Linked DNA regions of Rattus norvegicus. The protein of the gene in region 3 purifies or fractionates together with the protein of the main gene of each other region. This does not show direct contact. Links are inferred from orthologs where the notes say so. Each region holds a gene or a part of one and is shown on either strand. Other genes may lie near its edges.

Region 1 (3,500 bases), on a different chromosome or scaffold from region 3:
TTCCAGAGGTCCTGAGTTCAATTCCCAGCAACCACATGGTGGCTCACAACCATCTGAAATGAGAACTGATGCCCTCTTCTGGTGTGTCTGAAGGCAGCTACAGTGTACTCGCATACATAAAGTAAATAAATAAATCTTTAAACACACACACACACACACACACACACACACACACACATGAGCTTAAGAGTTCGGGTGGAGAGGCCAATATAGGTTCAGATGCACATCTGGCTATTCAGTATGATTAATACAATACACAAAATTCATTAGTAGCTCATAGAGGTAATATTTGTCACCCCTTGGAGATATAAATATGGTTTCTAGAAATCTAGTGAACGCAGAATTGTAGTACTTTGGTGAGAGGTTTTATTGCCCTCTTAAGTACCCAGGAAGAGGACTGGTGGGAAGAACACTCACCTGTGGTGCTGACAGGGGTTTAGGTGGAACCTAAGGCTCTCAGATCATTTACCTGGAAATGTTGCCACAGATGACGGCACACGGCCGGGTGTTGTGCAAGCACTGGATGGCTTTGGCTATTCCTATCAACACACTGATTCGAACGTGCCAGGAAAGTGGGGTTGTGCCATTCTAAAAAACAGACAGGTTGACTTAGTTGTATTTTCTTAGTGCAAATTACCTATATAGTCACTATGTGGGCACATGGTTCCAAAGCCACTGTTGGCATTTAGTCTAGGCTCTGCCCCACAGTAACCTAGCAACAGCCAGGTGTGCACCACCCCACAGTTACCTGGCAACAGCCAGGTGTTCCTGACTCACTATAAAGGGGCTACCCCCTCCTTTCTCTCTTGCTCTCTTATCTTGTTCTTGCCCCTTACCCTTCCCCCCTCTTTCTCCCCCATCTACCTGCTCATGGCCAGCCTCTCCTCCTCCTCCTCGTCCTCCTCGTCCTCCCCTCCCCCCTCTCCTTTTCAGTCTCTACTACTCCCTCAACTCCCCTCCCCATGCCCTAAATAAACTCTATTCCATACTATACCATCTGTGGCTGGTACCTCAGGGGGAAGGGATGCCTCAGCATGGACCTGCAGAGGTGCCCCTTTCCCCGACACCATACCACACACCCCCACTAAACATATCCCTGGCTTCTCTTCTCTATCTTTTTATAAAACACAACAGCCACAGCTGTAGATGGAGTGGTGGAAGAAGAGGCAAATCAACGTTTCAGTTTGCTACAATCTGTTTTTAATTCCAAATGGGTCTTCCTCTACAGCTCAAGGACAGTGATTCTCAACCTGCAGGCTCCAAACTCCATAGGATTCACGTATCAAATATAACATATATCAGATATTTACATTACAATTTATAACAGCGAAATTACAGTTATGAAGTGGCAACGAAAATAATTTTATGGTTGGGGGAAGACTGCAACATGAGGAACTGTATTAAAGGGTCAAAGCATTAGTAAGGTTGAGAACCACTGCTCTAGGGAAATACCCAACAATTTTTAACTTTAGTTTAATCAGACTGTGGCCAATGGGCTGAGAGTACGGCTCAGCAGTAAAATCCTTTCTGAGCATGCATAAGACACTGGGTTTGATTCTCCAACCCTGTACCCACTTGAATACCACATGCCAAGGAAGCTGAGAATAGCTGATATAAACTCACTACACATATTGTTAAATTACACAGAACCCAGGAACTCGTGTGTTCAGGGAACCTTCTAAGGGTAAGACATCAGTCTCCTGGGAGGCCCTTCACTTCCCCGGGAACCATTCCTGAATATCCCCGCCCCCCAGTCATGCGCATGCTCAGATCTTGCCCCTCAGCTCCCTCGAGTGTCAACAGCCCTCCTTCATCCTGGGCTTTAGTGGGCCAAAGGACCTGAGGGACTGGTACCCGCGACTTACTGTGCACTGTAATCTGTCGAAAAGTGTCCCATTGCTCATATAGGGATAAACCAGACAAAGTTTCTCCATCTCTGTGAAATATGCAGCCAGCTCTAGTATGTGGGGGTGATTGAACCTTGAAACAGAAAGTTTTAAACCATCAGATTCTCCACTTAAATAGAAGACGGACAAGAGGCTTGATCAGGAGGGGTGGGGAACAGTTCTAGTGTAACTAAGTTTGGCCAAGAGACAGTAACTAAGTTTGACCAAGAGACAAGTCATTTCCTTGGGAGTTCAGGCAAGTACTAGTTCCACCGGTTTTAATCAACTGCCAGCATGTAAATCAATATAATATATTAAAATACAAGGCAATAAAATGTAAGGAAGTATCGATTTCTTAAGCCTTGGGATACTAAGAACGTCATACAAAAAAATTCATATAAAAACCACAATTCAATATTCACTTATTTTCGCTGATATAAAAAATGTCATATCTTTATTTGTTAAGCAAATAATGGTTATGCAACAGAAACCCATCTGATTAAGTCTGCAATGCAAGGAAAATCACGAAAACACGGGACTAGGGAAGGCTGTCTTCATCCACCCATCAGTGGGGCATTACCACATCAGGTGCTGGGTTAAGCCCTGGCTACAGGCAGGCAAGGGACAGTCATGCCTTTACCAAGCTTGGATTGTCATCGACAACCCACACAATAGTATCTTCATCTACAAAAGCTGGAAACTGATTTTAAATTTCAGATTTCTACATTAGTGTACTAGATGCATGTTAGGCTCCTGTCCTAATCATGTATTAACCAACAAATAAACTCTATTCCTTAGATACCATGTTTATATGAAGATCAGTATAGTCCAGGCATGATAGTGGAAGGGGCTAGTGTTGGCTCAAGAAAACCCAAGAGCGAGATTCTCAGCACAAAGGAGATTTATTTGTCCCAGAGGCACAGAAGGCAGGGAATAAGAGACAGAGGATGAGGGAGAAGGGGAAAGGAACAGGGAGAGGGGGCAGGGGTATTTGTCTGGGGGTTGCGGTGGGAAGGACTGTTCCTGAATAGAAAGAAGACAGACTGGCCCATAGGCAAATGAGACGGTTCATAAGGGTAAAAGGAAAAACCTCATGTTAGGATCAGGCATTTAATTTTGATTGGACAGGGTAATTAGGGCAGCCCCAAGGGAGCGTTTGATAGCTGGACCTTAATAGTCAGTCATAAGAGGAGGAAGTGGGCAAATGAGGAAATAGATCTGGGTGGCTAACCTTAGGAATCTAACCTAGTGGTTTTTAGCAAGGCAGAGGGAACAGGGCAAGGCGGGTCAGAGCCGTGTGTGCTGGCCAGAGTCCCTTGGTGGTTACTCTTCATTGTCTAGCTTTAGTAAAGCACAGCACGAGGGCTGCAGCATCCAGTGGACTCAGGTCCCAAAATGAATGAAAAGGACCAGGTAGGCTGAGCACAAGGACCCATCTCTCTGCGCTTCCTGATTGGACTCAGTGAGGCCAGGCACCATGCCATTCTCCCACAGTAACTTCTGGTGATGATGTGCTGAATGGTGCACTGTCCTCTCAAACTGTGAGCCAAAACAAACCATCAGCCCCTCCAGTCCTTCTTATCAGGTGTCAGGTCAAGGCAGGAACTAAAGCAC
Region 2 (3,500 bases), on a different chromosome or scaffold from region 3:
AGAGTCATTTAACATCTCTGAGTCTTGTTGTCCTCATCTGTAAAACGAGGCCCATAGTAGCCTCCCCCCTCATGACAGGAATGATTGAGGTTTGTACATAAATTGCTTAGCTTGGGCCTAGAGAGCTAGGTTAGAGGTTAAGAGCACTTCTTGCTCTTGCAAAGGACTCAGGTTCAGTTCTCAGCACCCACGTCTGCTGTCTTACAGCTGCCTGTCACTCAGTCCAGGGGGGCCCATGCCCTCTGGCCTGCACGGGTGCTTGCACACATGTGCTACAGTGAATTCACTCAGAAACACATACATAAGCAAACACAATAAGCAGAGTGTGTCAGCTTATACCTTTAATACTAGCACTTGGGAGGTAGACATAAGTGGACTTGAGGCTAGCCTGCTCTACCTAGCAAGTGCCAAGCCAGTGCAGGCTACACAGTGAAGCCCTGCTTGACAAAAGCAACAACAACAAGAGCTGGGTGGCGGTGCATGCCTTTAATCCTAGGACCTGGGAGGTAGAGGCAGGCGGATGTCTGAGTTTGGGGCCAGCCTGGTAGGCAGAGTGAGTTCCAGGGTAGCCAGGAATACATATAGGGAAACCCAGTCTCAAAAAGAAAAAAAATCTTAAAAGCTTATCCGGTGATACCTTCTTACTAAAACTTAATTCACTGCTAATGTTTCAGGTGTCACTTTTAATTGGTCTGTCAACAGTAGAGGAGCAACTGAGTCGGGTATTTCTCAGAGCCGTGGGGCCACAGAGCAGAAATTGGTTCATACCACAGTTGGTCAGACGTAAGGAACCTGCAGGCCAGCCCACAGGGCCTAGCCTCTGGAGCGTTGTGGTTGCAGTGTGCACTGTTCTCTTTGGGACTGGCATTTCAGGTTTTGGTGGCTGCTGAGACACTGGGTGAGAAAACTGTGAAATTTGTCTGCACATGTGTTCTGGCCCTCCTTCCTTATAGATTGGCCGCTCTACTGAAAACATGATTGACTTCGTGGTAACGGACACATCTCCTGGCGGAGGGACTACGGAGGGCCCTTCTGCCCAGAGTACCATCTCTCGCTATGCCTGCCGAATCCTCTGTGACCGCCGGCCACCCTATACTGCCCGCATTTATGCTGCTGGTTTTGATGCCTCTAGCAACATCTTTCTTGGAGTGAGTGATTGCCCAAGCGTGGCTAGAGAGAGCTGAGGGGAGGGAGGCTGGGGAGATGCTGTGTCCTGGAGTGATGGGGCAGTACATAGCCATCCTTTGTGTCGCTCCTCTCGTAAGGCTTAGCAGCCCATTTCTTGAACAAGCAAAGGGAAGAACAAAGAGGCCAAGTGGTGCCCAAGACCTGAAATCCTCCCTGGGAAACCCCAGACCTCAAAGGTGGGGGGACACCATCTCTGGCATGCAGCCTTTTGGGAACTCTTGGAGTTGTGAGCTTATCCTTCCTGTGGTCCTAGGAGCGGGCAGCCAAGTGGAGGACTCCTGACGGTCTGATGGATGGCTTGACAACCAATGGGGTCCTGGTGATGCACCCAGCGGGTGGCTTCTCTGAGGACTCTGCCCCGGGTGTCTGGAGGGAAATTTCCGTTTGCGGGAATGTGTACGAACTTCGGGATAGCCGATCAGCTCAGCAGCGGGGGAAGCTGGTAGGTGACTTCCTCCGTCTCTCCCCTCCCTTCCCAGGCCCCCATCAGCAGTTCTTTGCCTTTCCATGCTGGGAGACGGGTCTATAGCACTTCTCCCCAAGGGAGTCCCACTAGGTTCTGCTTGGCGAGCCCCAGGCTTAGACAGTTCCTGACACTTGTCACTTGCCACACAGACAGGACCCGAGCAAGGTCACTAGGTATACTTTTATACAGCTGGGGATCCAGCAGGTGATATGAAATGCAGCCATGCACATGCGCTGTGTGGAACCAAATGGCTTCGAGGCTGCCAGCAGCTTAGAAAATCACACCCTCTTCCAAGGATGACACTTGGCCTGTGCATGAACAGTTTATAGTCCAGAGTGTTGGCAGCTCCTAGGGTGTCTGTCGCATATAAGGAGGGTGTTGTTATTCTCTCCCAGCAGGAGTAAAAGGGCCTTTGGAGTGGTTCTTACACTGCTCCTGGAAGTGCTCCTTTGGTGCTTCTTGGAGCACTGATGTTGAGAGCTGGGAGTAAATTCTAGGAAAAAAAAATAGGGCCGTATAGCTATATTCCTTGACTGGACCACAGAACTCTCCCCAGGCGTCAGCACATGAGAGGGTTATGAGTTCTCGGCCAGCCTGAGCACACAGCAAGAGCCTGTCTCAAAATCAAATCAGGGGCTAGAGAGACGGCTCAGTGCTAAGAGCACTAGCCATTCTTCCAGAAGACCCAGGTTTAGTTCCCAGCACCCACATGGCAGCTTACAGCTATGCATAACTCTAGATCTAGGGGATCCAACACCCTTTTCTGGCCTCCATGGGCACCAGGCACACATGTAACACACAGGCATACGTGCAGGCAAAACACCCATAAAGTTAAAAACTAAAGAAACAAAACAAACCATGCACATGAATGTAACACAGACATGTGCTCGTTATGTGCCTGCTGTATACCAGACATTGTTATGTGCCCACTGTATTCCAGACATCGTCCATGTTTTTTTCAGTTGACTTATTTAATCTTTACAAGGCCCACTTGAGATATGAAATTCACTTTGAGGTCCAGGAGACCAAGATACAGAAGTTACATTATTTTCTTGGTAACACTAAGTCAGTGACTGGCAAGATCAGGATTCAGACGGAGGCTCTCTGGCTCTAGAGATCTTGCTGTGATCCACGACCTGGGGGGCAGCCAGTTTGGGCTCAGTACCTGTATCCCCCCTGGGAGGTTATTTGTTTTCTTTGTCATATTCTACTTCTGCCATTTTGGGAGAGCTCTGGAAAACGTTTCAGAAAAACCTTGCTTTGGGCCAGACCTCCTGATTTGACCTGTGGAGATAGCAAAGCCCGGGTCCTGCTGAGATAAAGGGCTGTATGTATTTGGGGGCATCTGTCTTCCTTGGTTCAGCTGGCCTGCTGGCCTAGGGTGTTCTCTTAAGGGAATGTCACTGGTCAGATAGGTGGCTTCTCTGGGGTGAGGCTGCCTGAAGGCAGGGCCAGAGAGCTCTTGGGCTAAGGCCTTCTGCTGCCTTCGGCAGGTGGAAAACGAATCCAACGTCCTGCAAGATGGTTCGCTCATCGACCTGTGTGGGGCCACACTGTTGTGGCGCACTCCGGCAGGGTTGCTGAGGGCACCCACCCTGAAACAACTGGAGGCCCAGCGACAGGAGGCCAACGCAGCACGGCCCCAGTGTCCTGTGGGCCTCAGCACCTTGGCCTTCCCCAGTCCAGCCCGTGGCCGCACAGCACCCGACAAGCAGCAACCCTGGGTCTACGTCCGTTGTGGTCACGTCCATGGCTATCATGGCTGGGGCTGCCGGAGGGAGCGAGGCCCCCAGGAGCGCGAGTGTCCTCTCTGCCGCCTTGTGGGACCCTATGTGCCCCTGTGGCT
Region 3 (4,300 bases):
CATCTGTCACTCTGGCTTGGAACAAGCTATCCACTTTATTCTGAGCCTTAGTTTCCCTTTGTGGAGAATGAGGAACAAGACTATTTATGACCTAATTCACAAGCAAGTGGAGGCTAAAGCTATTCCGAAGGTTTTGGCAAACACTGTACAGCTGGGATAACAGCTAGGGAACATTTCTCAGGACTTAAGACAAAATGCAATGGGTTCAGGTTCACCTGACTGCACAGAAAATGCTGATGCCCTTCTCCCTCTCCTCTCCCAAACAGTTTGAGAAGGAAGTTCTTATCCTGTATATGTGGTGGCTTGTGAGTTTGATACTCAGGCATGGCTCAAGCTTGGATTCAGTCTGACAGCCTGTCTCCATTGGTCCCCATTCCCCAAGAGCTACATGAACTAAATCCTTTAGCTACTCTGCTTATAAAGCCAATAACTCCCAATAGAGGAACAGTAAGGAGAGGCCAGAGGAAAGAATTGTGTGGAAAATCTTGGATCAAGCTGAGTGTAATGGTACATGCCTATAATTCTAGCATAGAGTCGACTGAGTTAGGAGAATTGCCAGTTTGAGGCTGGCCTGGGTTGGGTAGTGAGGCATTGTCTCAAAGCAAATAAAATGGAAGAAAGAAAACATTGGGCAAAACCTTGAGTTTGAAGGGGAGCCAGAAGCCCAAGTCCTGCCTGTCACAGGCTAAGGGGCTATGCTAGTAATGGTGCCAGATCAGCTAGGACTACCTGAAGGTGAAGCTGATCCTCTAAGGAGCCATTGGGCAGGAAGCCATAAACAAGGCAGTAGAAGCCACTCTCTGCACAGTAGCCAGCAAAGTCCACGATATTTGGGTGACGAAACCTGTTACCAAAGAGTAGAGTCTGAGTTCTTTAGTTTTCTGGGTTCCATTACTTTTCATCAGACCAGGCTTGGGTGGGCAGCCCTTGATGTTCCCTCACCTGGGCCTGGCAAGGCCTTGAGGGCCCAAGGGAGCCAGAGCTTGTGTTGTGCAGCCCTAAAGACTGATGAGGCCCTGGTGTGGCTCTCCTTGTGCCCCTAGACTGGAGGGACCCCCCGAGGCTCACCTTGATAGCTGTTCCACCTCTGTTAGGAAGCTCTGTTTCACCACAGTCCACTCTAGGTCAGCCTCCTGTAGCCCCAGGCATGGTGGGGGAAGAGGTAGGGAAAGTAGGCAGCATAAGCCAAGCTTGCCAGCTGTTTCCAGGCCCACAACAATGGAAGGCTTGGGGTCCTTGAACTGGAATCAGGGCTGAAGGAATTGCTGGGGGAGGCTGGAGGCAGGGAACTGTAGAAGTGAAGTGCTGATGGAGGGAGGAACTGGACGAACAAGGTGGCTACCCCACTGTTATACCTACCTCCTTCAGTCTCTTCACAGCATATGTAGTATTTCTCATTACTGCTCGGTACACACACCCAAAACCACCCTCTCCAATCCTGAGTTCTTCAGAGAAGTTGCAAGTGCCTTGGGAAATCTCACAGAAGGGCCAGCAAAATGGGGAGGGACGAGCTCTTTGGAGGCCAGACACTGGGCTCTCTGGGCTTGGCTGCTGGAAGAGACATGGATTAGGCGAGGACACTGTCTATTCCCCTTGGTCCAGGTTGAAAGCTCCCTTCAACACTAGTTGTCTCTTAGATGACCTGGCTGTGCTGATTCGGGCTCTGTGGTACACCAAAGATAAGTTTCTTCCTCTTTGGAAATTTCCCTGGGGGTTAAGGGACACCTACCTTGATGGAGGAGGGGGCTGAAGATTGTAGTGGTGGCCCGAGGGAATCAGAGAGTGGAACCTGGAGGAGCTCTGACTCAGAATGGGTCTGGGAGCCTGGAAAAGCTTCATAAAGATGGCAGTGAGAGGCAGAGACCAGCAGCAGTCAACAGCCATGTCAGTACTCATGGTGGCCTTTTCCTCACGCATATCAAGCCCAACACCCGGGTTCTTTTTACCTGGGGAGAGGAAGGTGGAGGCAGAGGACTGCAATTTCCGGGGGCTCCAGTCCTCAGTCTCAGAGCCTGCAGAGATGCTGCTGGGCCTTGGGGCACCGGTGCTTGGGGGCAGAACAGAGGCAGGAGGGTGCCCTGGGATAACAAGGAAGGAAAGGAGGGTGGTGTCTCAGGTCTCTCTATCCTTATATGTAGGGTGTGGGAGCTCCCATATGGTCCCCTGTCTCAGGAAGCTCTGTACCCGTCACCCCTCTTGGGTTCCCATCCCTAGGGTCCCTGGGGCTATGCTCGCTCACAGGCTGTAATGATGTCCCGCGCACGCAGCAGCTGCAGGTGCGTGAGGATGTGAACGAGGTCAGCCACACGCGCGTTGCGGTTGATCCAGGGCCACAGGACACTGGCCGTGCGCTGCTCGGAGCGCTCACACAGCCGCAGCTCTGTCTGGTCGCGCACGATCAAGGCCGCTGCGGGACGGGGAACATCAGGCTTCAGCTCCAGAAGCCTGGGTCCACCGCCCCACGTCGGCCTGCCGTCACCCACCGAACTGGCACCAGTCGGCGGGCTCCAGGGCGTCCATCACTTTGTAGAAACGGCACATAACCCAGGGAGGCACCTCGTACAAGAAATGCTGGGCGCCGGGAACCACAGGCTCCCCGGGGCCCGGGCCCCCGGCCATGACCGTTGCCGCCGCCCCCGCCGCCGGGCCGAGGCCTCTCCGGGCCTCGGCGGGCGCGGGCCTTAGCCAGCCCGGTCCACAAACACTGACTCACTTCCCCTTCAAGCCGGCCTCGTGCGACACCCGGCAGGCGGAAGAGGCGGCGCTCGGCCCGCCGCCATCTTGCCCTCCGCGGCCTTCCGCCACACGGGGGCGTCTCGTGAGGCCCTTAACTCCGGGAAGGAGCTCTGCTAGGGAGGAGGGCGTCCCTAGTGGGAGAACAGAAGGCTGTGGTTCTACAGGGACGGCGGGCTTCCAGCAGTGGGAACCATCTGAATAAGGCTGAACAGGATGAAGAAAGATTTCCAGTTCTGGAGACAAAGGGCATGATGTTTTACACGATGTTCTACAAAGGCAATTTATGCCAAGCCCGGTGAAAGCCACAGAGAGGCTCCCCTTGGCTTTACTTGGGGAGCAGTGGAGACTCAGCCGAATTGTTCAGTCAGGGTCAAATGTGGGTCACAAAATAGCCCTCTGGCAGACTCTAATCATTTGGTGGTAAGGATGGATGTCCTGAGAATGATCTGGAAGAGTGTATACCAAGAGTGCTGCTGCTTGTGTGCTAGATCCCTGTGCCCCCACCTCTGCCTCCAGGAACCTTCCAGCAGCTGGGCCAGCAAAGTGTTAGATCACAGAATCTGCCTGTGCAGGATCCTAACTTGCCAACTAACACATTTGTGTCTCTTAACATATACACGGTTGTCAGCTTTTCTTTTTCTGTTGCACTTTTATTTTAGTTTGCACTTCTCCCCATAAGGACCCTAGGATCTAGCAGCTTCTCCTACCCCCTTCTAGAGCAGTTGTTGGTGACACCACCTGATGTAACTTTTAGCCATGTGAGTGTCTCTTGCCCACTCCTCTACTGTTATCCATTCAGGGATTTCTTTGGCCTTTTTGATCACTCTATGGCACACATCTCAGCACATAGTACTTTCTCATTATGCTCTCTTTAAGTCCCCTTTGCATGAGTGCACTACTCTTAGCCATCGCCACTCACCTGCATGGATTGTATGGCTTGGGTGGAGCTCACAGCTCATGTCGTTGTCCTCAGGTTCAAATCACTAAAGCCCTTAGAATCCCAGTTCTTTTATGGCTGTTAGGAAGATGGCATAGCCAGTCTCTTGTCTACCCACCTGAACTTGTATACACCAACAGCCTTAAGCCAATAAGAACTCTTTAGATTTAGTTGGGCTTGGTGATACACCCCTTTCAATCCTTGCAACCAGAAAACAAAGGCAAATGGACCTCTGCGAATTTGAGGGCATCCAGGGATACAAAGTGAGACCATACCTCAGAAAGACCAAAACTAAATTAAAAAAAAGCCCTTTTTAGTGGTGTCCTGAAAAGCACTTCTCATTCTACTCTGAAATTGAGTTTACATATACACCCCTGCTGTAGTCCTTCCTGACTAGACTGAACATAAATAGCTGTGGGGAAAGCTTCCTAAACCCAACTCTCTCTTAGACACATCTTGAGCTTGCAATGGAGTTCTGTATCTCTGAACTTTTCTCACTTCCCACTGCCCAGGAAGATCGACAGGTAGCAACTTGGCAATCCTTGTTTCTCCAGCTGAAAGCATGCTTGTAAAGCAGCAGCTTTCTTCTCCTGATTACAGTTTCCCCAACAGACACTTTTTGTCATA
Region 4 (3,500 bases), on a different chromosome or scaffold from region 3:
CTTTGTCCCTGCAGGGAGATTTGTCATAGGCAGAAGGCCCAAGTTCTGTCTGTCAGGGCTGTTTTCAGGATATGTGTGGGTGGATTTCATTCCCAAGTCCTGTACTATCTTCCCTCGCTCAGCTGGCGTAAGGGCTAAGTTTAATAAAGACTAATGAGTCACTCCATTCTGACTGTGTGGAACCCTCAGACCCCACACAGATGAACCACAGCAGCTCTGTGCTGTCCTAGATCCAAAGCAATGCTCACTCTGAGCACCAGCAAGCAGGGACCATATAGGCAAAGCCCCATCCAGGATCTCATATTCCCTCTTGCCCTATGGACTGGCCATCCCTACTGCCTTAGCCTTTGAATTCCTTGGGATAGCAGGACTACATGGTTTGCTTGGACTCCAGTTTCCTGAACCCTAGCAGAGAACAGGGGTCCTGAAGGCCTGCCCTGGTGTCTACTCTCAGAGCCACAGTCTTTCCTGTTGGCTAAGAAAGCAGGTGTGTGATCTCATCTGGCTTGCCCTACTCTGGTAGGAAGGCCAACTGGACACCAGGTACTGTGAAATCCACAGGAAGGTTAAAAATTAAAAAAATATATAAAAGCCACATCTTGACTTTACGACTCAAGCAGGTATTAATTTACATGGGTAAATACTTTCAACGAAAGCCATGATTTAAGATGTAGTATGCCTTGTCTAACAGGAACCAGATTTTCTTATTCCTACAACTCATACATGAAAATATTCCTAGACAACGTTTCTACACCTCTAAAAATTTCAACTCACCTTACTTGTGGCAAAAACAGAGCAAACACTACTTCCTATGTATACAAAAATAATTCAAATATGACACTGGAGTAGGTTTTAGAAGGTCTTCATTTAAAATAGCCATGCTTACACAATTCTACACTACTCAAGCTTCATAGGAATGCTGGGCCCCTCCCTCCTCCTGTCCTACTTTGTCCCTGGGATGCCTACCAAAGAAGCAGTACACACCTGCAATGGGCACATAGCCAACACCCTGCTGGTACACAGTTGGCATCAGAACCACAGGCTGAGGCGGCATCATCATGGCAGCTGGAAGGGACTGAAACACAACAAAGAAAAACATGGGTGTCAAGGAGGACCATACCATATGTCAATCTTGTTACTTCTGGTATCATAGGGCTAGTCCTAGCCACAGCCCAGACAGCAACACCCAAGACATGGAATCCTCAGCAAGAATGTAGTGTCCATGGCCACTGGTTTCATCTGCACCACTCCTGCAGACCTCCTCCCTTCAGCTGGAAGACTTGGGCTGCAGACTCAGAACTACAGCTCAGTTAGGAAAGTGCTTGGTGCACAAGCATGAGGACATGAGTTCAATCCCCGGCACCCATATATAAAGCTATGTTTATGTGTGTGTGTGTGTGTGTGTGTGTGTGTGTGTGTGTGTGTGTGTGACACATATCTATAATCCTAGGACGAGAGAGGCAGAGACAAGAAGATCCCTCAAGTTCATTAGCCAGCCAATCTAGTGAATGGAATGAGTTTCAGTTTCAGTGAGAACAAGAGTCAAGGTGAAGACCAAAGAAAACAAATGATGTCAACCACTGGCTCACACGAGCTACAACCACACCACTTCTCACACAGGACTTACAAAGCTCCCTTCAGGGTCCATTTTGGAGACTGCATCAGTATCAGTAGCTTCTCTCGGAAATGCTGAACTGCTTTGTTTTATTTAACATATCTTAGTGTTTTGTGTGCCTATATGTGTGTGCATTATGTGTGTGCCTGATGCCAGTGAAGGTTAGATTAGGGTATTGGATCCCCTGGAATTGGAGTTACAGTTGGTTGTCAGCCACCATGAAGGTACTGGGAATCACAAGAGCAGCAGTGCTCTTAACCTGTTGAGTCACCTCTCCTGCCCCAGCTCAAATAATCTTGAACTGTAGATGAGCGAGTATACAATGGACCTATGCTACATAAAGCACCTGTTAAAGATGGGTGACACTCCACACCAGGAGAGGCATGTAGGATGGTAAAGCGGAGGAGGCCTGCATACCGGGTGCTTTATACTCCCCTGTTCTCAAAGGCTCAAGAACAACTAAAAGGAAAGGCCCAGATAATACAAAGGAGACAGTGGGAAACCAGACCCCCAGCCCTGCCTCCCATGACTTCCCAAGGTTCTGGGAGCCATAGCTATCTCAAGGAGGTGCCAGACCCTCTTTGAGAATGGCCTCGCCAGACAGTGAACTCACCGTATAGGACATGACCAGGTTAATCATGCCCTCCTTGTCGTCGCCCTGCCTCCCACTCAGGCTATACCACTCGTCCTCCACTTGGCCCTGCTTCAGGGACTCGGGGATAGTGATGTGGGTCCAAGCTATGCGGTCGTCCATGGAGAAGGCTCGCTGAGGAAGACAAGAGTAAAATGACCTCATTATGGCCCTCAACGACCCATGTTATAGAGACCAGCTTTTCCTAAGGCTGTGCTTGGACTGCCGCCTGCATCTACCTTCTGTGTTCTTGGCAGGACAGGGTTCCTCTCACTGCTCCAGCTTCCTCCAAGGAGCTTCCCATTAAACCACAATCCCAGACATCCAGGTGACCTGTACCTGGCCACCACTACTTCTGCATCTTCTGAGTAACCACCATAAGGTCAGGCCAAAGGACAATAAAGAAATCTCTTGGCTGCCATCCTTGCTCAGGGATGGACACTGTCCTCTGCAGTCCTTGTGGCCCTAACTAATCAACTAGATAGAAGCTGTAAGTCTCAAGCCCAGTAGGTACAGACAAGGACAAGAGCTGCCAGCCCATCCATAGCCCAACCCTCCTTCCCATATCCCTACTCTTCACAGACGCTGAAGAAGAAAGCAGAGGAAGGGGGTAAAGACAAATGAGTGGCTGCGTCCCCCTCGCTGGACTACCCATGCCCACTTCCTTTCTGGCTCTCACCGTCCCCATTCTCTTCCCACTGCCCTTTGCTCTGTTTCAAGGAGGCAAGCACATGGTCTCCAGAACTAAGCTGCGAGAAGACATCTTCAGCCACCTGAGTTTCCTGACTGCCCTCAAAAAGTTGCACACCTAACTGCTGGTATGGCCATGGGACATTAGTGTCAGAGCCTGGAACTGAGGCCTGCAAGAACAGTGTTCCCCTCACTGAGGGTGCTGACTTATTTGTAATTCGACTTATCCATGAACATCTATCTTCACACTCTACTCATGCTTCTATCACTGGTGATGGCTCCTAATGGACACTGTCAAAGAAACTGTACTTTGTCATTCAGCCACTAAATGCCAGGTGTCCAGGCAGGTTACACCCTGTCACTAGTCACTAAATGCTAGGTACAAAGGTCCTGAGCACCAGTAGAACAGCCTCATGACTACAACCACAAGGCACATGCAGCACACCCATGGCTGCCAGATCCCAAACTTGGCAACTCTGTAACATTGGAGCATCTCTCACCTCATCGAAGATCTCAAGGTAGAACGAGTCCACACCTGGGGGCACTGTGCACTGAATAACCTTG
Region 5 (3,327 bases), on a different chromosome or scaffold from region 3:
TCTTATATACAAGTGGGAGGAGGTGTGGGGCTCATCGTTCAAGTGATGGCAGCCCAACCGGAACACCCAGAGCTGACCTTGGAGAAGCTTCCTTCTCTCCACGGTCTCATTCTACGTGGGTGAACTTCAGTTCTTCATTCTCAAAAAAAACCAAACAAACCGTTTTTCAAACTTAAAAACCTTTCCTCAGTAGAGAAGCGACTCATCAGAAGCTGCCCCAGTCGCGGTGGCGTGGCTGCCTTTGCAGGCTGACTATTCCTCTGGCAGGGGTCGGGGGTGGGACCTCACCTGGAAACCAAAGAGCTAAGGTGGCCCCTACGGAGAGCCTGTGGTTTATTACCGAGTTCGCCATGTTATGACCTCTGATGCTGGGATGCTTGCCTTATTCCGAGGTATGTGCCAGACATGGTTCTTGACACAGAGTAGTCTGGTATCAGAGTGAACTTCCTTGAAAAAACAAGTTTGGTGCTTTTCTTCTTTTGTTTTTGTTTTTTATTTTTGATGGGTGAAATATAAAATTTAACCTTACTGGGTGTGAGACCCTTTATCTTACAAGATTACGACAGGAACCCTCAAACTATAAATTTCCATATAACTAGAGGCGGGGTGGGGTGGGGTGGGGAGGAAAACCAGTGATAAAAACGCTGGCTGCACCAGGTGGCACCCTAGGTTTCTCTAGAAAGTTCTCTTCTCTCTCTCTCTCTCTCTTTCTCTCTCTCTCTCTCTTTCTCTCTCTCTCTCTCTGTCTTTATTTCATTTTTTTCTGCAGGTTATCTATGTAGAACATAGGGAACTACCAGTAAAAAGACTGTTGTTGGATTTTCACATCATAAATATAATTAAAACAAAAAACTCTCTCATAATTCTTAACAGTCTCCAAGGGAAAATAAAGCTATTTTTAAAATGACAGGTAACTCCAGCAAATTGAGTCGAACTAAGCAGCAACACTACAGAGGAATTAATATTACCGTTTTGCCTTCAGGAAAAACTACTCAAATAGGTTTAATTGGTTGAAAATAGGTGAAATATCTGCTAATAGGCAAGATATGGAAAAACCGATTCAAGTATGGATATGTCATAATCATATAAATTATTTATATTTACAAAAGCTAAAACAGGCAGATCAGATCTGTTGGCGGTCCCTCTGAGCAGATGTTAATTTAACCGAAGACTTTCTCCCTGGGAATGGGGTGGAATGCAGCTAAGCCCAGCAGTGTGTCTCCATGCTGACATTCTGGGAGCCTCTGATACCACTGTCACCAAGCATAGAAAACAAGCACTCAGGCATTATCAATCAATGCAAGATGAAACAGAGAGGGGCAGTGCAGCTCATATGAAACTGATTTAATGATTCCCCAGTAAACACTCACTTGCCCTCTCAAAAGCAGGAATCTCGACCAATCTCTACACACATGCCACTCAGTGCTCCGTGTAGCTGACAATCACATTTAGATTTAGCTTGATTTGCAAACATTAAAAAAAACAAAAAACAAAAAACAAAACCAAAAACCTTATGGGGTTCCTTAAGCTGTGAGGGAAGGTGACAGATGGTGGGAAGGTAGGGGACAGAAATGACAATCTCGCTGTTGCTTGTTGCTTCTGGGCTTAAAAAATCTTGGGCTTTCCTAAGAAGAAGAGAAAGGAAACACAGGACGTGCCAGCAAGTGGTTTTAGAAGTAAAAGCGTATTTTAAATCCCACTTGGGTCTTAAGTTTTCTGGTGTGCAGATAAAACTGATGTTAGAGTACCTAGGACACGCCCGCTGCTGCCACCCTCAGTTCATGAATTCAATCATCAATCAATCAGTTAACCAACCAACCAATCACTTCTTGACATGTAAGTGTCACGCTAAGCAAAATTAATAACAGGGCAGGCTAGGACCATGGGGGGGGGTTCTTTGTTTGACATGCCACATATCTGATGAGTGAATATGTAAGTGAATTCCACTAAAGTTAAAATGAAACAGTATATGGATTCTCTCTTCCACCCAAAGTAAAAAAAAAAAAAAAAAAAAAAAAGTGAGGAAAAGCTACAGAGTTCAAGACAAGTGCATGGTCTACGCCTCCTGTCCACGGGTGTTTGTGGCAGGGCCAACAGAGCTGGCCCTTTGGTACTGGGTCAGATTCTGGCCACTGTCAAGTATTCCCAACCACTGAACATCACCAGATGTGTGACTCCTGTGCCACACAGCTCTGCAGGCTGTGCTCTAAGAGACATCTGCAGAGTACCCTTCTTCTACATTTGTAAAATCTTACCCAAGTTTACAAAGGGGGAAAAAAATCTGGTTAAAAACCTAAAGTTAAAAATAAAAGCATGGCAGTTGAAATCTAATCATTACACAGGTATTAAAGTTTAGTCAGGCAGACCTCAGGTGAGGCTGCTGTTCTGGGCATGCCAAACACAGTGGTATCTGTCATCGCCTGCCCCACCTCTGTCGTCCCAACTCAGTCCGCCGTCCCCTCAACAAAGAGCCTTACAAAAAGGTAGGATCTACAGTTAGTGGCGAAATCTTCACAGTAACGTGTTATCGTCATGTAGACGGTCGTCCAGGGTGTCAGTCCACTGGACCTTGGAAAATCAATTTGATGCAGTTTTGTTCACCAACCAGCTGCGTGGCACAGAACGGACAGGCGGCGTGAAATGCGTGGGTTCCGTGGGGCAGTGGAATCTGGGACCAGTACTTTGCGGACTTCTCCGAACAGACGTGCCCACAGGGGGTGAAAGCGTGAGTTGGAGGTCCTGCATCGACATAAAACCCTGCCTCACAGCCCAGCCAGAGGGGGACATAGGGGCCCACAGTCCTGCACATGGGACACTCCCGCTCGTTGGCTTCGCCGTCGCTCCGATGGCCCCAGCTGTGGTAGCCGTGCACGTGACCGCAGCTCAGGTACGCCCAGGGCTGCTTCTCTTCTACCACTTCCTTCCGGTTGATGCTGGGGAAGGCCAGGGTGTTGAGGCCCACGGGACACTGGGGTCGGGCTGCGTTGATCTCCTGCCGGAGGGCTTCAATGTGCTTCTGAGTCGGTGCGTGGAAGAGGCCGTCGGCGGTTCTCCAGAGGAGCGTGGCCCCGCACAGGTCAATGAGGGAGCCATCTTGCAGGACATTGGTCTCGCTTTCCACCTGCAACAGGTTTAATAGAGACGGCTTTAAAAGCGAAATCCAACGATCTATGGGGGCAAGGGCACCCGAACATTCTTCACGCAGAACGCAACAGAGCAGAAGACAGGGAGGTAACGCATCCCATTAGAAAGGGGAGGGGAGGGCTGGGGATTTAGCTCAGTGGTAGAGCGCTTACCTAGGAAGCAGAAGGCCCTGGGTTCAGTCCC
Region 6 (3,500 bases), on a different chromosome or scaffold from region 3:
ACAACCAGGGTAATAAAGGAAAACTCTCAAAAATCAACAAAAAGCAAGAAACTCATCCAAGTAGCTGGAATTTGAGATGTGTACTATACCAAGGCTGGCGTCTACAACTGCTCCTTACCTGTGCACTTATTAACAGATTTCTGTAAGTAGAAGATGATCCTTACCTACCAACAGGATTAAAGCTCGGAGAGAGAACATTTGCCCAGCATGGGCAAGGGCCAGGGTTTGATCCTCACAGTTACAAAAATAAGCAAAGCTAGAACTCCAGGAAAGGCAGAGTTAGAAGTAACATTTCTGAGTGTTTTGCTATTACAAGCTACCCAACATTTTTTAAAAAGATGTAATTATTTATTTTACGCATGAGTACACTGTTGCTGTCTTCAGACACACCAGAAGAGGACATCAGATTCCATTACAGATGGTTGTGAGCCATCATGTGGTTGCTGGGAATTGAACTCAGGACCTCTGGAAGAGTAGTCAGTGCTCTTAACCGCTGAGCCATCTCTCCAGTCCCTGACATTTTTTTTTAAATTAATACAAATTACAAAACCTGTCCTACTCAGTGTTCCATATCAGAGAGCTTCTGTTAGTTCCTGTTGCCTCTACTTACGTGCCCAGGTCTGAAGGCTTGTTCTGTAGTTGCTCTATGAGTTCCCTGTAGGTGGGGTCACTGAGCAGTGTCCTTGTCCTGGGATCATTCTCTAACTTCTGGTACAGATTAGGCAAGTTGAAAGGATTCATAAATTTCCTCTCTGTCCAAATGAAAGTACATTAGTATGAAATGTTAATTTCAGTCTCTACGATATCAAACATACCCCGCCTACCACCTATGTTCACTTTGGGGAGGACAGCATTGTTTTAAAAATTAATCCCATTACATAAAAGAAAATGCGAGTGAGTACCCACCTGCCAACCTGGCCTCCATGTTCTGCAAGCCTTCCTTAAGCTGTAGATTATTGGCTTCATGTTTTAAACCTTCTTCATAGGTTCGTTTGGCTTCTTCAAACCGGTTTAGGAACTCAAGGGCTGCTGCTTTTCTTGAATAACCCTGAACAGCCCCAAAATTATAGTAAATAGTGGTCATGCAGAAGTAAATTCAGATCAACTCAAAGAGTTTATTAGGGTTTTGTTTTTAATACATTTAATGCATAAGGGTGTTCTTTCTGCATGTGTATCTGTGCAACATGTATGCCTAGTGCCTACAAAGACCAGAAGACAGCACTGGGTTCCCTGAGACTGGAAGACAGTTGTCATCCACCACGTAGATGCTGAAAATTATGCCCAGGTCCTCTGGAAGAGCTACCAGTGACGTAAAAATGGAGTCATCTCACCAGCCCTTCCTTTTTTCCTAAGATTGGGTCTCATGTAGCTGTGGGTGGTCTCAAATTCCACCTGTCTCTACTTTCCAAATGTTGGGACTAAAGGCATATGCTACTCTGGTTGGCCCTCCTGCCATGTACTTTTTAGACCCAAATGATACTCACATGAAGGCCAACCAGCAAATAGGGAAAGGATACAACACCAACGCTGATACTAAAAGAATCCAGACAAGGGGTTGGGGATTTAGCTCAGTGGTAGAGCGCTTGCCTAGCAAGCGCAAGGCCCTGGGTTCGGTCCCCAGCTCCAAAAAAAGAAAGAAAGAAAAAAAAAAAAAAAAGAATCCAGACAAAGGTGCATAAATCTCCATGCAACCCATGGCTATAAGCTGTCAGCTTACTTAGCAATGTTTCATTTCTTATCTGTACAACTAATAAAACCTGTTTTATAATTGATAACAAACTTGGAGAATTAAGTGTTTCCTTCAAGGGGTACCTTCAGAGAGGGTGGACAGATAGGTCTTAAGGAGCAACCTAGAGCCAACTAGACAGGTCAGGAGGGCCTGCTAATTGGGAACGACAGACAAGAATCAAAGTTCTTAGGAAAACTGTACAGAGTGTAACTCTTCTACTTACCTTGCCCCAGTCAGGCTTCAGGTCAACAGTCTTGCAACCGTCCTCATACGCCTTCTGGTAGTCTCCTTTCTTGGCATAGGCTGCAGAGCGATTGCTATAGAGCACATGGTTCTGAGGATCTAGTTTAATTGCCTCAGAGTAGCACTGTAAGGCATCATCAATGTTCCCAGCACTCAGGGCCTTATTGCCCTTCTCCTTTAGCTCATTCACCTGAGGAGGGAAAAGTATACAGCCTCACTCTATAGAACTGAATTCTCCTCCCTAGGTGTAGATATTCTTATTCTTCGTAAGTATCAAGTTGGCCACTACTGATCAAAAAGAGAAAAATACGGGCTGGAGAGATGGCTCAGCGGTTAAGAGCACCCGACTGCTCTTCCAGAGGTCATGAGCTCAATTCCCAGCAACCACATGGTGGCTCACAACCATCTGTAAAGAGATCCGATTCTCTCTTCTGGTGTATCTGAAGACAGCTACAGTGTACTTATATATAATAAATGAATAAAAAAAAAAAAAAAAAAAGAGAAAAATACTATTCCATCCATGTTGTCCTATACCTCTGAAAACTAGCAGGGAAACAAAGCGGAGGCATCAAGACTTCTTTGTCCTCCACTGGCAGAGAATTCAGCCCCTCCAGTGCAAACTGGCTACTTTGAAAAGCAAATTCACTTGTCAAAGATCTGAATCATAGTAGCTGGAGATGGCTCAGTGGTTAAGATGACTGCTCTTCCAGGAGACCTGGGTTCAATTCCTAGCACCCACATAGCTGCTCATGCCTATCTGTAACTCCAATTTCAGGGCTTCTGATACCCTCATACAGATATACATGCATGCAGGCAAAAGACCAACGAACACAAAACTAAAAAACAAACAAATAAATAAAATCTGAGTGTAGGAAGAGCTGAGCATGCTCAGATACATGACTGAGCAGACACATGTGGCACACACACATACACACTCCCAGGACTTAGAAGGCTCAGGCTGAAGGAATCTGAGTTCTAGGCTATACAGAAACCACTCTCTCAAAAAAAACCTCAAGATGGGGCCTGATAAAACACCTAGGCCTGACAATCTAAGTTTAATACCTGGGGAGTAATGGATGAAAACAAACCAATCAATCCCACCAAGTTGTCCTCTAAAGGCCAGCCATATGTGCACATCTACATGCACACATCACGTATACACATGCTCTAGAAGCTTCAGAATAAGAGGATCCTGTTCCTCTATGTTCATTACAGCTCTACTGCTATTTCCCATTATTAGCAAGAGCTGAAAAGGACTTACTGTGCAACCTTTAAGGGTTGAGCTAGTCTCCGCCAAGTTCCTGCCATGTTTTACTATTACTCTATCAGGAAGAAGATGAAGACAAATATCATCCAATCCCAGTCTCTCCATTTCCAAGGAGCTTCATAAAGTGAATGAGACTTTGCTTAAGCAGAGTGCTGACTTTCCCCAAAGTCACCACAAAGCCACACCCCTAGCCTTTCCCTCCACTTAACCTGCGTTGGGACAGGGTCTCAGGTTAACTTCAAAGGCTAGCCTTGAACATGA

What was found.
Region 1: the proteins of Irak1 (region 3) and Irak3 purify together in Homo sapiens (co-immunoprecipitation; 3 studies listed by BioGRID and IntAct, with this or other methods). This does not show direct contact. The link is inferred for Rattus norvegicus from reciprocal best matches to the Homo sapiens genes IRAK1 and IRAK3.
Region 2: the proteins of Irak1 (region 3) and Peli3 purify together in Homo sapiens (affinity purification with western blotting; 7 studies listed by BioGRID and IntAct, with this or other methods). This does not show direct contact. The link is inferred for Rattus norvegicus from reciprocal best matches to the Homo sapiens genes IRAK1 and PELI3.
Region 4: the proteins of Irak1 (region 3) and Tollip purify together in Homo sapiens (affinity purification with western blotting; 11 studies listed by BioGRID and IntAct, with this or other methods). This does not show direct contact. The link is inferred for Rattus norvegicus from reciprocal best matches to the Homo sapiens genes IRAK1 and TOLLIP.
Region 5: the proteins of Irak1 (region 3) and Peli2 purify together in Homo sapiens (affinity purification with western blotting; 7 studies listed by BioGRID and IntAct, with this or other methods). This does not show direct contact. The link is inferred for Rattus norvegicus from reciprocal best matches to the Homo sapiens genes IRAK1 and PELI2.
Region 6: the proteins of Irak1 (region 3) and Stip1 purify together in Homo sapiens (affinity purification with mass spectrometry; 3 studies listed by BioGRID and IntAct, with this or other methods). This does not show direct contact. The link is inferred for Rattus norvegicus from reciprocal best matches to the Homo sapiens genes IRAK1 and STIP1.

Annotation. Positions count from the first base shown.
Region 1 is NC_086025.1:57,560,632-57,564,131, forward strand, and holds part of Irak3 (interleukin-1 receptor-associated kinase 3), read right to left. Parts: intron 1,981-3,500; coding exon 1,866-1,980; intron 589-1,865; coding exon 470-588; intron 1-469. UniProt on the Homo sapiens protein: Putative inactive protein kinase which regulates signaling downstream of immune receptors including IL1R and Toll-like receptors.
Region 2 is NC_086019.1:211,662,240-211,665,739, reverse strand, and holds part of Peli3 (E3 ubiquitin-protein ligase pellino homolog 3), read left to right. Parts: intron 1-953; coding exon 954-1,148; intron 1,149-1,441; coding exon 1,442-1,630; intron 1,631-3,147; coding exon 3,148-3,500. UniProt on the Homo sapiens protein: E3 ubiquitin ligase catalyzing the covalent attachment of ubiquitin moieties onto substrate proteins. Involved in the TLR and IL-1 signaling pathways via interaction with the complex containing IRAK kinases and TRAF6.
Region 3 is NC_086039.1:156,927,026-156,931,325, forward strand, and holds the start of Irak1 (interleukin-1 receptor-associated kinase 1), read right to left. Parts: upstream 2,801-4,300; 5' UTR 2,620-2,800; coding exon 2,484-2,619; intron 2,473-2,483; exon of another isoform or gene 2,408-2,472; coding exon 2,240-2,407; intron 2,079-2,239; coding exon 1,947-2,078; intron 1,834-1,946; coding exon 1,730-1,833; intron 1,552-1,729; coding exon of another isoform or gene 1,549-1,551; coding exon 1,360-1,548; intron 1,134-1,359; coding exon 1,069-1,133; intron 845-1,068; coding exon 730-844; intron 1-729.
Region 4 is NC_086019.1:206,398,489-206,401,988, forward strand, and holds part of Tollip (toll-interacting protein), read right to left. Parts: coding exon 3,437-3,500; intron 2,382-3,436; coding exon 2,229-2,381; intron 1,076-2,228; coding exon 985-1,075; intron 1-984. UniProt on the Homo sapiens protein: Component of the signaling pathway of IL-1 and Toll-like receptors. Inhibits cell activation by microbial products. Recruits IRAK1 to the IL-1 receptor complex. Inhibits IRAK1 phosphorylation and kinase activity.
Region 5 is NC_086033.1:24,012,310-24,015,636, reverse strand, and holds the end of Peli2 (E3 ubiquitin-protein ligase pellino homolog 2), read right to left. Parts: intron 3,122-3,327; coding exon 2,555-3,121; 3' UTR 501-2,554; downstream 1-500. UniProt on the Homo sapiens protein: E3 ubiquitin ligase catalyzing the covalent attachment of ubiquitin moieties onto substrate proteins. Involved in the TLR and IL-1 signaling pathways via interaction with the complex containing IRAK kinases and TRAF6.
Region 6 is NC_086019.1:213,651,155-213,654,654, forward strand, and holds part of Stip1 (stress-induced-phosphoprotein 1), read right to left. Parts: intron 2,163-3,500; coding exon 1,953-2,162; intron 1,049-1,952; coding exon 907-1,048; intron 753-906; coding exon 611-752; intron 1-610. UniProt on the Homo sapiens protein: Acts as a co-chaperone for HSP90AA1. Mediates the association of the molecular chaperones HSPA8/HSC70 and HSP90.